Linked DNA regions of Sus scrofa. The protein of the gene in region 2 purifies or fractionates together with the protein of the main gene of each other region. This does not show direct contact. Links are inferred from orthologs where the notes say so. Each region holds a gene or a part of one and is shown on either strand. Other genes may lie near its edges.

What was found. Proteins that work in one complex are often made in the same cells at the same time.
Region 1: the proteins of VAPA (region 2) and OSBPL11 purify together in Homo sapiens (co-immunoprecipitation; 4 studies listed by BioGRID and IntAct, counting the BioPlex papers as one, with this or other methods). This does not show direct contact. The link is inferred for Sus scrofa from reciprocal best matches to the Homo sapiens genes VAPA and OSBPL11.

What each region holds. Positions count from the first base shown.
Region 1 is NC_010455.5:134,715,648-134,722,883, reverse strand, and holds the start of OSBPL11 (oxysterol-binding protein-related protein 11), read right to left. Parts: upstream 4,534-7,236; 5' UTR 3,691-4,533; coding exon 3,494-3,690; intron 1-3,493. UniProt on the Homo sapiens protein: Plays a role in regulating ADIPOQ and FABP4 levels in differentiating adipocytes and is also involved in regulation of adipocyte triglyceride storage. Weakly binds 25-hydroxycholesterol. Interacts with OSBPL9 to function as lipid transfer proteins.
Region 2 is NC_010448.4:98,249,665-98,257,015, forward strand, and holds the start of VAPA (vesicle-associated membrane protein-associated protein A), read right to left. Parts: upstream 4,609-7,351; 5' UTR 4,368-4,608; coding exon 4,289-4,367; intron 1-4,288. UniProt on the Homo sapiens protein: Endoplasmic reticulum (ER)-anchored protein that mediates the formation of contact sites between the ER and endosomes via interaction with FFAT motif-containing proteins such as STARD3 or WDR44.

The DNA.
Region 1 (7,236 bases), on a different chromosome or scaffold from region 2:
AAGGAGGCAGTTGAGTGTAAACTACTATTAAGAAGAAAAGATTTGGGGAGTTCTCGTTGTGGCTCAGCAGTAACAAACCAGACCAGTATCCATGAGGATGCGGGTTCAATCCCTGGCCCCACTCAGTGGGATTAGAGTCTGGCATTGCCATGAGCTGTGGTGTATGTTACAGACTCCGTTCAGATTCTGGCGTTGCTGTGACTGCCATGAAGGCCAGCAGCTGCAGCTCCAATTTAGTTCCTAGCCTGGGAACTGCCATATGCCACAGGTGCAAGCCCTTAAAAAAAAAAAAAAAAAAAAAAGGATTTAGGTTGGTTTTTATTGTTGTTGTTGTTGGTTTTGTTTGTTTTTTTTTCCCCTCTTTTTAGGGCCACATCTGTGGCATCCTGAAGTTCCCAGGCTAGGGGTCAAATCAGAGCCATAGCAACACCAGATCCAAGCTGCATCTGTGACCTACGCCTCAGCCTGCACAGGAATGGAAACTGCATCCTCATGGTATCGTATGAGTAGGGTTCTTAACCCACTGAGCCACAATGTGAACTCTTGTTTGTTTGTTTGTTTGCTTTTTCAGGGCTTCATTCGCAGCATATGGAGGTTCCCAGGCTAGGGGTCGAATTGCAGCTACAGCTGCCGGCCTATGCTACAGCAATGCCAGATCCAAGCTGCGTCTGGGACCTACACCACAGCTTACGGCAACGCTGGATCCTTAATCCACTGAGTAAGGCCAGGGATCGAACCTGAACCTGTGTCCTCATGGATGCCAGTCAGATTCATTAACCACTGAGCCACAACAGGAACTCCCTGTTAATTTTAAAGTCTATAGAAACTATGGGCCTCAGAGGAAGAAGCCAGGTAAGAGGGGCAACACAGGACAATGGAAAAAAATTATTTGATCAATGTCCTAGAGGACAAAGGAATAAATTCGACCGAGAGGTGGGATGAATGATTAGCCTTGAAGACTCCTCATTTAAGTAAAAATATGTGTCAGTACGTAAACGCAATAATGCATTATGCATACTGACGCAAAGACTTTGAAAAACTTACGGTTTCCAAATGAGACAGGTTGGGGGGTTGGGGGATGCACTGAGGGTTTGGGATGGAAATGCTGTAAAATTTGGTTGTGATGATTGCTGTACACCTATAAATGTAATAAAATTTATTGAGTAATTTAAAAAAATAATGCATTATACATCTGCATCTTTGGGGAAGAGTTCCATATAACTGCATTTTCCAGATCCTTAAGCATCTTTCTTTTTTTTTTAATTTGAGCTATTTTCCTTGAAACTGTTCACCACTATTCTCCAAAACAGACTGCTTTCCTGGATGACTTAAGGTTATTGCAACTATGATTACTATTCGAGGAAGTAATATGGCTGAGTCTGCATGTTAATTTTTCACATATTTGATTGTCCTATGTTGTCAGTTGCCATTTCCTGTTACACTTCCCTGATACCTTTTTTATTTATGCTCCCAACAGATTCTAGTTTGAAAATTACATAACCATTAAGCAATACTCTTAATAAGGGATAATATGGTCCTGAATCAAAGTACAGGAGCAAAGGGTATGGCTTTATGACAACTCTCCCCAGTATTAAGAAAACTGTTTCACTTTTCAATTCAATAAAGACTGGGTTAATTCTTTAATTCAAAGAACTAAAGATGTCAGAAGACTGATCTCTGACTACATGAAATATTACTTTATCTTGTTTCCTTAAGTCACATTAAAATAACCCTGCCAAATTACTGACAATTTTATATAGTTAGACTTAAACCACAAAAACACATCATGTATTGCAAAAGTGAGCAGGCGTTTCTCAGTAACTAAATATATTTTAATCGCTTACCTATAATAATTTACCAATAAAAAGTTATATTCTTCTACATTGTTTCTATACGTTAATACGTCAAGCATATTTCACATATATGGATATTATTCATGATAAATGTATACAGCCTTTACAGAATCTTGACTTTAATCCCTTTCAAATTTCACAACTACAAAACAGCACACAGGCAGTCAGTTAACCAAAATTTAATTTATTCCTGTACTTCCAATACCATGGCATATTCAATTTCATTCATTCTTAAGAGTCTGAATAATCCAGCAATTCTACTTCTGAGTATTTTCTGAAGAAAAGGAAACCAATAACTCAAACATTCACTGAAATATTATTTATGATGTTCACTGCAATATTATTTACAATAGTCAAAACATGGAACCTAAGTGTCCATCAAATGGACAATGATGAATGGATAAATAAAATGTGGTATGTGGTATACATAAAAAATGGAATATTATTCAGCCATAAAAAATGAGGAAATTTTGCCATTTGCAACACATGGAGAGACCCTGAGGGCATTATGCTAAGTGACATCAGTCAGACAGAGAAAAGACAAATACTGCATGATCTTGAAAAAGAATGGATGTGTGTATATGTATAACTGAATAATTTTTTTGTACAGCAGAAATTATCACAGCATCGTAAATCAACTATACTTTAATAAAACTTCATAAAATGAAAAAAAATACTGTATGATCTCACTTATATGTGGAATCTAAAAAACAAAACAAAACTCATTAATACAGAGAATTACATGGGGGTAGCCATAGGGAAGGATGACTGAAATGAGTGAAAGTGATCAAAAAGTACAAACTTCCAGGTATAAAATAAACAAGTCCTGGAAACGTACAGTATGGCAACTATAGCTGATAATACTGTTATTATACAGCATTATTACTATTTGAACGTTGATAAGAGATTAGATCTTAAAAGTTCTCATCCCCCCAAAATTGTAACTATGTGTGGTGATAATGGTAACTAGATGTATTAAGGTGACCATTTCACAATACATACAAAATATCAAATCATTATGTTGTACACCTGAACCTAATACCTCATATATTTCTCAATTAAAAAAAAAAATTCTAGGAGTTCCCGTCGTGGCTCAGTGGTTAACGAATCTGACTAGGAACCATGAGGTTGCTGGTTCGATCCCTGCCCTTGCTCAGTGGGTTAAGGATCCAGCATTGCCTTGAGCTGTGGTGTAGGTTGCAGACGCGGCTCACTTCCCTCGTTGCTGTGGCTCTAGCATAGGCCAGTGGCTACAGCTCCGATTAGACCCCTAGCCTGGGAGCCTTCATATGCCGCAAGTGCGGCCCTAAAAAGCAAAAAAAACAAAAAAACAAAAAAAACCCCAAATCAAATTACAATATAGGAAAAAAGAGGAGTACAGCATCAAATCAGAGTCAAAATTAACTCCAAAGCTGTAGAGAAAGTCCAGAGAAACATTTCTGTGTTCTCCAAAGGGCCTTCAATAGATACCTGTTGAATGGACAAATGAATTAAATCTTGCTAATGAAAGATGAGACCCCAGATCCAAACGAGATGTATCTGTTACCTGCGGAAGTCAGTGGATAAGCTTTACCCTTCAACAACTGCAGGAACTCGGGGTCCAACACACCCCCACCCTCACCTTGGAGAAAGGGCCATACCTGTACTGCCAGCCTTTGGCACTGCCACCTCTGCTGCTGCCGCTGCTGCTGCTGCTGATTCCACCCCCACAGCTGCTGTTGCTGCTGTTCTTGTTGGGGGTCACCGCGGTGGCCAGGCCCTCCAGCCTTCCTTCGCTCTCTGAGACTTTCATTGTTGACAGTGGTTCACCTCCCTGCATCTTAACTTCAAAGTCCATTTGCCCCTCTCGGGCGGAGAGAACAACTCTGTATGGTAGTTTTGTAAGTGGTGAGATTTAAGATTTGATCTGAAGGTGATCCCAATTGCCAAATGAGACGGTGGCTGGAGTAGGAACCATCAAATAATCCAGGGAACGAATACAAGCATTCCTCGTGAAGGAAAACTTTTAAGAGGAGAGGAGTAGCGATGAGAATAGATGTCCTTTAAATAGATGTCTCCTTTCGGGCAAAAACAAGGAAGAAAAAAAAATCACCCTGCCCGAGGACTTGGTGGCATGCTCAAAGGAGAAGCAGAAGGAGCGTGGGGAGGTCGCGGACTCCAGCCAAGAGGGCTGGGAGGAGGACGGGCCACGGACCGGGACTCGCGGCCTGACCTCTGGGCTGACAGACTTGACCCGCCGCGCTCCCTCTTCTTCTCCAGCCGGTCCTCAGCGGGAAGGGCCCCGTCCACCCCTCTCGGCGGTTCCCGCCGCAGCCCCCAAGACTGAGCGGGAGCAGCCCGCGCGCAGCCGGGGAGGAGGGTTGGGGAGGGAGGCCGCCGGGGGCGGGACGCCGGCTCCCAGGGCTACCCTGCCTCCGGCAAAGGCGAGCCGCTCGGGGCGACTTCCTCCAGCACGCTCGGCCTCGGGCCCTCGACTCGGTTCTCAGGGGCGGACTAGTCCCTCACCCTCTCCCCAATCCAAATGTGAGAGCCACAACGGCGGCCGCCGCCCCACCCACAGTCCCACGGTAGGTCACCCACCCGCCTGCTCTCTCCCCGCCTTCCCTTCCGGAGTACCATGAGCTCACTTCCCTCAGAGCGGAAGCCCTGGGCGCCATCTTGGAGCAGGGCGCGCAGCCCTGAAGGGGGCGGAGCCTCGGGGATAGCGGGGCCTGGGCGGTGGACTCCAAAGGAAGGGCGGGGAGGGTGGCAGAGGGCGGAGGCAGGGGGACTGACGAAGAGGGAGAAGTAAAGGACTTAGCGCCCTAGTGGAGGGTGGCTTCCGGTCTTCCTAACCCGGTGCAGGCCTTCTGTTCCAGGGCCCATTCCAGCCATTTTAGGGAGAAAACTTAGAAAAATGTCATTTCTATAAGAAATTACAAAAACAGGGAGTTCCCCTCCTGGCGCAGCGGTAACAAACCCGGGTGGTATCCTCGAGGACATGGGTTTGATCCCTGGCTTCCATCAGTTGGTTGGGGACCTGGTGTTGCTGCGAGCTGTGGTGTAGGTCGCAGAGGCAGCTCAGATCCAGTGTGGTTGTGGTGTAGGCCCCCAACTGCAGCTCCAATTCAACCCCTAGACTGGAAACTGCCATGTGCTGCAGGTGTGGCCCTAAAAAGATTAAATAAATAAATAAAATTACAAAACCAAAAACCATCTATTCATTTTAATAATTTTACAAAAAAAAAAACCTGTGATATTGGCATAAGGCAAATCAGTGTTATAAATAAAAAAGCAACTGTTGGGAGTTCCTGTTGTGGCTCAGTGGGTTAAGAATCTGACATAATTTTAGTGAGGATGCAGTTCCATCCCTGGCATCTCTCAGTGGGTTAAGGATCTGGTGTTGCCGTGAGCTGTGGTGTGGGTCGCAGACGCGGCTCGGATCCCGAGTTGCTGTGGTGTAGGCCGGCGGCTACAGCTCCGATTAGACCCCTGGCCTGGGAACCTCCATATGCCGCGGGAGCGCCCAAGAAATGGCAAAAAGACCAAAAAAAAAAAAAAAAAAAAAAAAAAGTGAGATATGGAAATGCTATAAAATTTGGTTGTGACGATCATTGTATGCCTATAAATGTAATAAAATTCACTGAGTAAAAAAAGAAAAAGAAAATAAGTGAGATGGAGTGGAGAACTTACCTTAGAGAAAACAGTTGAGAGGAGTTACCTGACATGGCGCAGTGGAAATGAATTCAACTAGGAACCATGAGGTTGAGGGTTCGATCCCTCGCCTCAGGATCCTTCCTTGCCTTGAGCTGTGGTGTAGGTCCAAGATGGGCTCATATCCTGAATTGCTGTGGCTGTGGTGTAGGCTGGCAGCTGTAAGCTCTGATTCGACCCCTAGCCTGGGAACCTTCTTATGCTGTGGGTGTGGCCCTTAAAAGCAAAAAAAAAAACCAAAAAAAACAAACAAAAAAAAACAGTTGAGGAAAGTTATCTATGAGGAGATGATATTTATTTATTTATTTGTCTTTCTAGGGCCACTCCCTCGGCATATGGAGGTTCCCAGGCTAAGGGTCTAAACAGAGCTGTAGCCGCCGGCCTTTGCCACAGCCACAGCAACGCCAGATCCCAGCCGCCTCTGCGACCTACACCACAGCTCATGGCAAGGCCATATCCTTAACCCACTAAGCAAAGCCAGGGATCGAACCTGCAACCTCATGGTTCCTAGTCGGATTTGTTAACCACTGAGCCACGACGGGAACTCCGAGGAGATGATATTTAAAGTGAGAGATTAAAGAAAGGCGAGGAAGCTAAGGAAAAAGCTAGCTTTACTTATTTGGGGACAAGAGAGACGTGGGAGGAAATTCTCTTGTGGTGCAGCAGGTTAAGGATCTGGCATTGTCCCAACTGCGGTGCAGGTTCAATCACTGGCCCAGGAATTTCAGCATGCTGTGGGCGAGCCAAAAAAAAAAATAAAGAAAAAGGATAGAGACTAACCAGCATTGGTTATTGGGATGTGGAGAAATTGAAACCTTCATATACCACAGGTAGAAATCTGAAAGGTGGTATATCCATACAATGGAATATTATTTGGCTATAGAAGGAATGAAGTGCTAATATATGCTACAACAAAGATAGATTTCAAAAGCATTATGCTAAGCACAAGAATCAAGACACCAAAAGCCACATATTGTATGATTCCGTTTATAAAAAATGTCCAAGATAGGCAAACCTATAGAGGCGGAAAGCAGATTAGTGGTTGCCAGGTGCTGGGAGGAAGGAGGCATGGAAAGTGACTGCTAATGGCTATGAGGTTTTTTGAGGGGTCATGAAAATGTTTTAAAGTTAGATTAGTGATGGAGTTCCTCTGTGGCTCATCAAGGTTAAGAACCCAGTGTTGTCACTGTAGCAGCTCAAGGCACTGCTATGGCACGGGTTTGATCCCTGGCCCAGGAACATGCCATGGGCACAACCAAAAAAAAAAAATTTAAATAAAACAAAATTATTTTGGTGGTGATAGTTGCACAATCTTGTAAATATACTAAGACCTACTTAACTGTATGCTTCAAATGGATGAATTCATGGTAAGTGAATTTTATAAAAATAAAGGTAATTTTTAAAAAAGCCTCTAGGAGTTCCCATCGTGGCGCAGCAGAAATGAATCCAAATAGGAACCATGAGGTTGAGGGTTCGATCCCTAGCCTTGCTCAGTGGGTTAAGGATCCAGTGTTGCTGTGAGCTGTGGTGTAGGTCGCAGATGGGGCTCAGATCTGGCGTTGCTGTGGCTCTGGTGTAGGCCGGCGGCTGTAGCTTTGATTCAACCCCTAGCCTGGGAGCCTCTGTATGCCATGGGTGCAGCCCTAAAAAGCAAAAAAAAAAAAGTCTCTAGCTGCCACAGAAAGAATTG
Region 2 (7,351 bases):
TCTTCCCCTAGATAACATCTACTCATTCTTGGAAAACCTTAGTCCAGCTTCGGCAGCCTTCCCCTGTTCCATCAAGTCCCCTGCTCTGCGTTCTCACCACAGCTTCACATGCCTCTTACATACCTACATCTCCTCTGATCATCTGACTAGTGTCTACCGCTTCCATGAGAACTGCTTTATGAAAATAAACATTGTGTTTAACTCAAAACTGTAGTTCCAACACTTATTCACCATGCATTACATATAGCAGAAAGTCAAATCTTTCTTGTATAACTGAGTGAATTAAAACAAATAAATGAATTTAGAAACAGAACTGCATTAAACAAGATAGATTCAAGAGTTATCTCTGGGATGTAGAAATACATTAGATGTGCACAGCATTTCTGGTATGAGTAATCACAATGCCACTATAAATTTTTTTTTTAATATAGGACTAAGAGAAGGCTTGGGTAGTAAAAAACCACTTTGGGATATGCTGAGTTTGAGACATCTGACTAACATTCAAATCCAGAGAGGCAAGAACTAATTAGTATGTGATCTAAAGCTGATTTTAAGTCTGATTTAAACACAGACTTGGGTGTGTACCAATGTGTGCAAAGAGAGAACGAGGAGAAAGAAAAGGCCTCAAAACAAGGAGAGTGAACAAGGAAAGTTCAGAGTGAGACAAAACTGAAACCAAATCAGAATCTCAGAAACATTAGTATTTAAGAAAAAGGAGGTGACAAAGGAGATGATGAAGAGAGCAAGAAGAAAATTAGAAAACTGTGTTACAGAAGTCAAAGGAACCAAGTTTTTAAAGAGTAACTATCTCAATAATGCCAAGTGCCAAAGAGGGTCAAGAGAGACAGAGACTGGCAAAGAACACAGTGCAATCAGTAGGTAGTGAGGACAGACAGCCATCTCGGGAACAGAGAAGAGGCGCCGGACACAAGGAACTCAACTCCTTTTCCAAGAAGTCTGGATGCAAAGGAAGGGACGTGCAGGGAGGAGCTGGGAGTCCATGAAGTGTGGTGTTTGCTGATTTGTTTTAAAAATGAAAGAGGGAGTTCCCGTCGTGGCGCAGTGGTTAATGAATCCAACTAGGAACCATGAGGTTGCGGGTTCGGTCCCTGCCCTTGCTCAGTGGGTTGACGATTCGGCGTTGCTGTGAGCTGTGGTGTAGGTTGCAGATGCGGCTCGGATCCCGAGCTGGCTACAGCTCCGATTTGACCCCTAGCCTGGGAACCTCCATATGCCGCGGGAGCGGCCCAAAGAAATAGCAAAAAGACAAAAAAAAAAAAAAAAAAATGAAAGAGTATGTGTGTTTTTACATTTAAAGAAGAAGCCAGAGGTTGAAGACATGACAGAAAAAACACCTGATGGAGCAGGGTCTGAGTCATGAAAGATTTTTACCTTAACCAGCAAAAAAGAGCTATCAAGCCTGGAGAAGAGATGGGTTTTTCCTTCTCAAAAGAAAGTGTGGATGTGAGCAGATGAAAGGTGTTACAAGAGGAGACAGCACATGACAGAAGTGCTCACGAGCTACACTAAAATAGACTGTCATCCAGTGGGCAATTGAAAGCTCCTTAAAAACTGAAGGAATGAAACAGTAAGATGACTTCTATGTCCTGGGGGGAGGGGGTCACCTCAGAGGTCTAATGGGGCCACTGTCTAATAGGCATTACCTGAAAATACCTCAACACATGCCAAATACCACCAAGAGGAGGAGCAGTCTATACCCTCACTTGGGCCACTTTCGAGCACCGTGTTGCTATTCGAAGGTGCTTTGGCTGACACACCACGTGTCCCTTGTCCCTCAGAGAGCTTACTTCTCCTTACTGATTTGTTATTGTTAATGGGCCACCTTTAATGCAATGGTTTGGGTCTGTTTCCCTCTTTCTCTAATCATGAGGTGGAAGAAAATATCCACAACTTATTTTCTAAACCTTCTTCTCCAAACTTTCCTCCAAAACTAATAAAAGGCTGAAAAAAAAAAAGTTGTATAATACAAAGGAAGAAATTTTATGATCAAAAAAAAAAAAAAAAGCAAGAAAGAAAGGAAAAGTCTCTCACATGTAAGTACCAAATTTCAAATCTGAATTCTAGGTCAAATTACTGCCAGGACCAAAAAACAGAATTTGAAAATATTTACCTCTTTTTCTTTACTAATTCAATAAATGAACTACTTTAGAATTCTTTACATTATTATTAAAGTACTTTCATAAACAACTGTATAAAACAATAAACTTCCAAATAAAATATTGTGGTATATAGAAAACGTATTAAGTTGGTATCAGCTTCTCCACAATTGGGCAAAGTGGTGATAATTCATATCAAGATAACTGAACATGAACTGCATGGAACAGAAAAATTCACCACCCAATCACAGAAGGATTAAATCACTCATTCTTGGAGAAATCACCTTAATCAAATGTAGTCAAAATAGTTCAAATAAACCTACCAGAAGGTGACATTCTGAAAAACTATCCTTTGACTTTTGCTTAAACTAAAAATTACAGGTGACTTAGGGCAAAATTAAAGGCTTTTTCTCTCTTAAAGAAGACACTGTAAGTTTTAAATGAGTCTCCTCACTTAATGTTGAACTGCTCATTAGAAAGTCAAAGCAAATTATTTACCTTTGACTAAGACAACTTTTAAGAAGCAATCAAATGACACCAAATGTCACTTCCTAATTCATCCTACCCCTCCTCTTTCCCAGGCCTCCCCATTACCCACCTTAAACTGCACACAGCAAACCACTAGGTATTTAAGTATAAGTCAACCTTCTCTCACATCCCTGGAAGAGCAAATCATTCCCTTCCCCAGCCCTCCCCCTCCTCTTCCCCATTTGAAAACAAGCTTCCTAAGCAAGGGCAGGGGAGGAGGAGGAAGGGACTTCTTTCCTCATGCTTGCTCTGCATCTATTACAGCATCTATACGCCTTCCTGTCTCCTTCTAAGATAAAACATAACACATTTTACTGTTGTTGACTGTGCGTTTTCCCCATCAAACTACAAACTATGGATCTTTTCTCCACCTTGCTTAGCTGATACCTCTGGAATAAATTACTCCTTGTTGAGTATCTTAAACATAGACATGTCACCAAGCTTTTAATAGTGTTTACTAAACAACGTGTCCCTATAAATTCCTCAATGAAAAACTTTTTTAAAAAGTCAATTGATGTCCAAACTTTAAAAGGCCTTGTGAATTACTTTCATCCATAACACAAGAACAACCTGTTCTATATCATAGCCAATAATTCTTCAATATCTTAACTAGGTTAAATATATTTTACGTCACTGTGTAGAGTCTACGATTGTTTTTTTAACTTACTTCTCTGTTACTAATAGTCTCTTACTATGAAAACATTACAACTGTGAAAGTGTCAAACTCTAGGAATATTTCCTGAACTAAAACTCATGTTAAAGGCGTCTAAGCTCCTAGCGGCAATACACACAGGTTATCCAGGAGAAGAAACTTCCTCTGTAAACTCCGCCTGCCAAAAAATCAAAGCAAAATACTTAAATTCTCGAAAGAACACATACCACACACTAAACTCCTCCATCCTAAGTTAACAGTTATTTGAGTTGGGTCATTTCATGATTCCCCAAAGGTGTGTTTTCTTTATCAGCGAAAACCATGTAAAATCAGGCTGCACACACAAACTTGCCACAATAAAATGTACTTTATTCCTCTCAAAATACTTCGTGGGGTTGTCTTAAGATCAATTCCTTACCTAACAAGCAGCTCCCTGACATTTCCATTCAAAGAAATTTGAAGACACTGAAGAGCTTGCAAAATAAGGCAGTTACACAACACGGCTGTCAAAACCCCAGAACGCAACACTTTAGAATTCCTGACTACCCCAAACGTCTCCCAAGGAAAACCACCTAATGGCTGTTCTCCAGGACGCAACCCTGCAGGGCAGTAAGGCTGCTCTTTCAAGCCCTGGAACGGCCACACCTGCATGATCCCTGCGCTAGTCCTCGGTGCGGGAACTCAAGTCCCAGATACACTGTCCCGCAGGCGGGGTTCGCTTCCCGGGGGAACCGCTCAGAGCCGCCCCCTCCAGCCCGCCCGCGCCCCGCCCCGCCCCGCCGCGCCCCGCCCCGCCCCGCCCGACCCAGCTCGGCCGGGCCCAGCGCCACCGCCGCACCGAGGCGCCCGCGGGCCGCAAGATGGCGGCGGCCTCGCCGGGCGGGGGGCGGGGGCGCGCGCACCCGCGCGGGAGGGGCCGTGGCGGCGGGGGAGGGGGAAGGGGCCCCGGGCGCGGCCGCCACCCTGCCCGCCCGCCTGCCCGCCAGCCCACCTTTGAATTTGAGGTCTGTGGGCGGGTCGAGGACCAGGATCTGCTCGTGCTTCGCCATGGCCCCGGAGGCGGACGCCATCGGAGAGACAGCGGAGAGCGGGGGCGCGCCCGCGGCGGCCGGTCGGTGGCTGCGGGCGGGGGGCGGCGGCGCGGCTCGGCCCGGGTCGACGCGGGGCCAGCGCTCGGCTCCCGAACCCGACGCCCACCGCTGTGTCGCCGGCTCGGAGGGCCGCCCGCCGGTCCGCAGCTCCGGGTCTCACAACTGACTCAACCCCACACCAGCCGCCGCGGCCGCGCGCACTGCGATCCTCGGCGCCCCACGTGACGCTCCTGCGTGCTTACGTGCGCGCCCCTGCGGCCGGGAACGTCTCGCGCAGGGCCTGCCCTCCACGCCGGCTTGGCGCGCCGCGGACTGCTGCGCTTGCGCGCCACTGGCCGGGCCAAGCTGGACGCCCGGCCCGGCTGTCAAGGGAGCGGGTGTGGACCTGGGCGGAGCTCGGCTCCAGGGCACCGATGCGGCGCGCACCGCAGGGCAGCAGAGCGCAATCCTCGGTCACGTTTAACTGCGATTACGACAGCGAGGAACCTGCTACTGCAGTGCATCACTACCTACCAAGTTGGAATGCCTAACAGCAGAAGGCGCAGCAAGGCTCGTTGACTACAACTCCCAGCACGCTCCGCGCGGGGCAAGTCTCCGCGCGGCCTGGTCCCCCTGCGGCGCTGTACAGTGCTTGCCGGGAATTGTAGTAGCTGCTGTGGGTGGCGGGAAGGAGAGGGGTCCTTTAAAGGCAAAGGGGATGGGGTGCGCTAAGACTCACTTTGGTTCTCGGAGAGCGTCTCCATCTGCGCTAAAAAAAGAGAAGTAAGAACTTTTGGAGCTCGACCCAAGGTTCACCTGGTTAGAAATATAAACTATGCCTTATGAAAAACATGTGGGGATCTATCATTTTGCTAATTCTCTTCATCCCTTCCTCGGTAGCCAGAATTCCCAGTCGTTTTCCAGTCCGAACTCTCCTGCCTCCTCAATTCTCTCCAGTGATGCGAAAGCCGAGGAAGAAACACACCTCCTTTAAAAAGCAGACGCGTCGTTGTGGATCTGACGAGGCACACGTATCAAACTGGAAATAAAAGTCAAAATCTGCAGCGTTCGTTGCTGTAGTTCTGTTCTTCAGTTTTGACTGGTAATGATAAGCCCAAACCAAAACAGTGGTCACGTTCACAGGTTGGAAACGAATTCTGTCTGCATCATTACGGAAGACTGGTAAACCGAACCAAAGGGGGAAAAAACCCACAGCCAAGTTGCTGACCCATCTTTAACCGATTGCCAGCGTAATCATGGGCAGGAACATGAAATGTGCCATAAGTAAATCGTTATGCTACTGCGAATTTAAATCCCTAGGAAGCACCACAGAACAAAGGACAAATTGATGCTGCCATGAAGGAGCAGCCCAGTCTGTCTAGAAAGCAAATGAGGCAAATGGGACGATGGCCTAGGCTAGGCACAGTGTTAATGTTTTCACTGCGGTCCAGGTATCAGCGCCCCTCTAGGAAGAGCTTTGCAGAACAGCTAACCTAGCATCACACTAGCCTCTGTTACAGGAGGGTAATGCATCTCCGAAACTTTGGAGGATAGAAGCACTGAAATATTCAAAAATCATGTGTAAATTTACATCTCCTTTGGTTACCTTTTATCCACAAAGTTACTTTGAAATTTCAATTATAAAGAATACAAAAATTACCCGTTTATCAAAGGAGGGCTTAAGGTTAAAAAAACAAACAACAAAAAGAGACATTGAAATTGACAGTAGCTCCACAAGATATTGTCCCTCATATGTTTAGTTTCGAGGTGTATCCAGATTGTTTTTTTTTCTTGCCTAAGAACTCTTATCTGTGGGAAAGTTAGCCTGGCTGGACTGGCTCCTCTACAGCCAGATGGACACTTCTCTTCCCAGCAAGCATTTGGGAAGCCCAGTTAGCAGGCCCAGCATGCTGCAGGTTTGACCAAGCTCTCCCTGTGGGACAATGGCTGTGATCATGATCAATTCAGGACGAAACCTAAATTGGATGTATTCCAGTTTGTACATCTCTGTCATTAAGAAACCTCTGGCTGCTGCAGTAATCACCTTTGGAGTGAACTTTTCTTTTTGCTGTATGGCTTAAAAAGTCATCTACGTAGAGTCTAAAGACTAAGGAATCTACATATAGGGTAGTCTAAGAATATACAAAACTACTTTGGAATAATTCCATTACTGTTTTAGAGCACAGCATTAATAATGACTCAGAGTCCTCCAGAATCTCCTACCCATCCTTAAATAGTGCCCTATTTTTTTTTTTAAGGCAACACCCTCGGCCTATGGAAGTTCCCAGGCGAGGGGTCAAATTGGAACTGCAGCTGTGGGTCTATATCACAGCCATGGCAACACCAGATCTGAGCTACATCTTTGAACTACACCATAGCTTATGGCAATGTCAGATCCTTAACCTGTTAACAGAGCCAGGGATTGAACCTGTGTCCTCATGAGCAATAGTCGGGTTCATTACCACTGAGCCACAAAGGGAATTCCCAAATTGTGACCTATATAAGTGATTTTTGCTTTAGTGTTTATTAATACCTTTCTTCTAACAGTTCAAAGAACATAACAAACATCCACAAGCTACTCAGAACAACCTTATAACATCAAGTGTTACTTTTGTTGTTAAATATGGAAATGAAAACAAAGGCGAAAGCATCCCATGTCACTTAACAGAGCTAGACTGGTGGGCAGGAGGAGCTGCCAATTTTCTGTACATTTTTGCTGTCCCCCAGCCCCAATAAAATGATGCCTGAAAGTGATTAAGACAACAGTTTTTAATGTAACTGACATCTGTTTTTGGAACAGAGAAACAAGGCCTGATGTTCACTGCTCTTTTTACATCGATTAATGCAGCTACATAAATATCCCTTAAGGTATCAGCAAAAAATATACACAAGTATATTTCTCTAACTCCCACGTTTTCGTAAGAGTTACAAAGTCCTTGAATATTACTTCAACCTGCTCGAATCATTAATAATGTTCCCCTTTG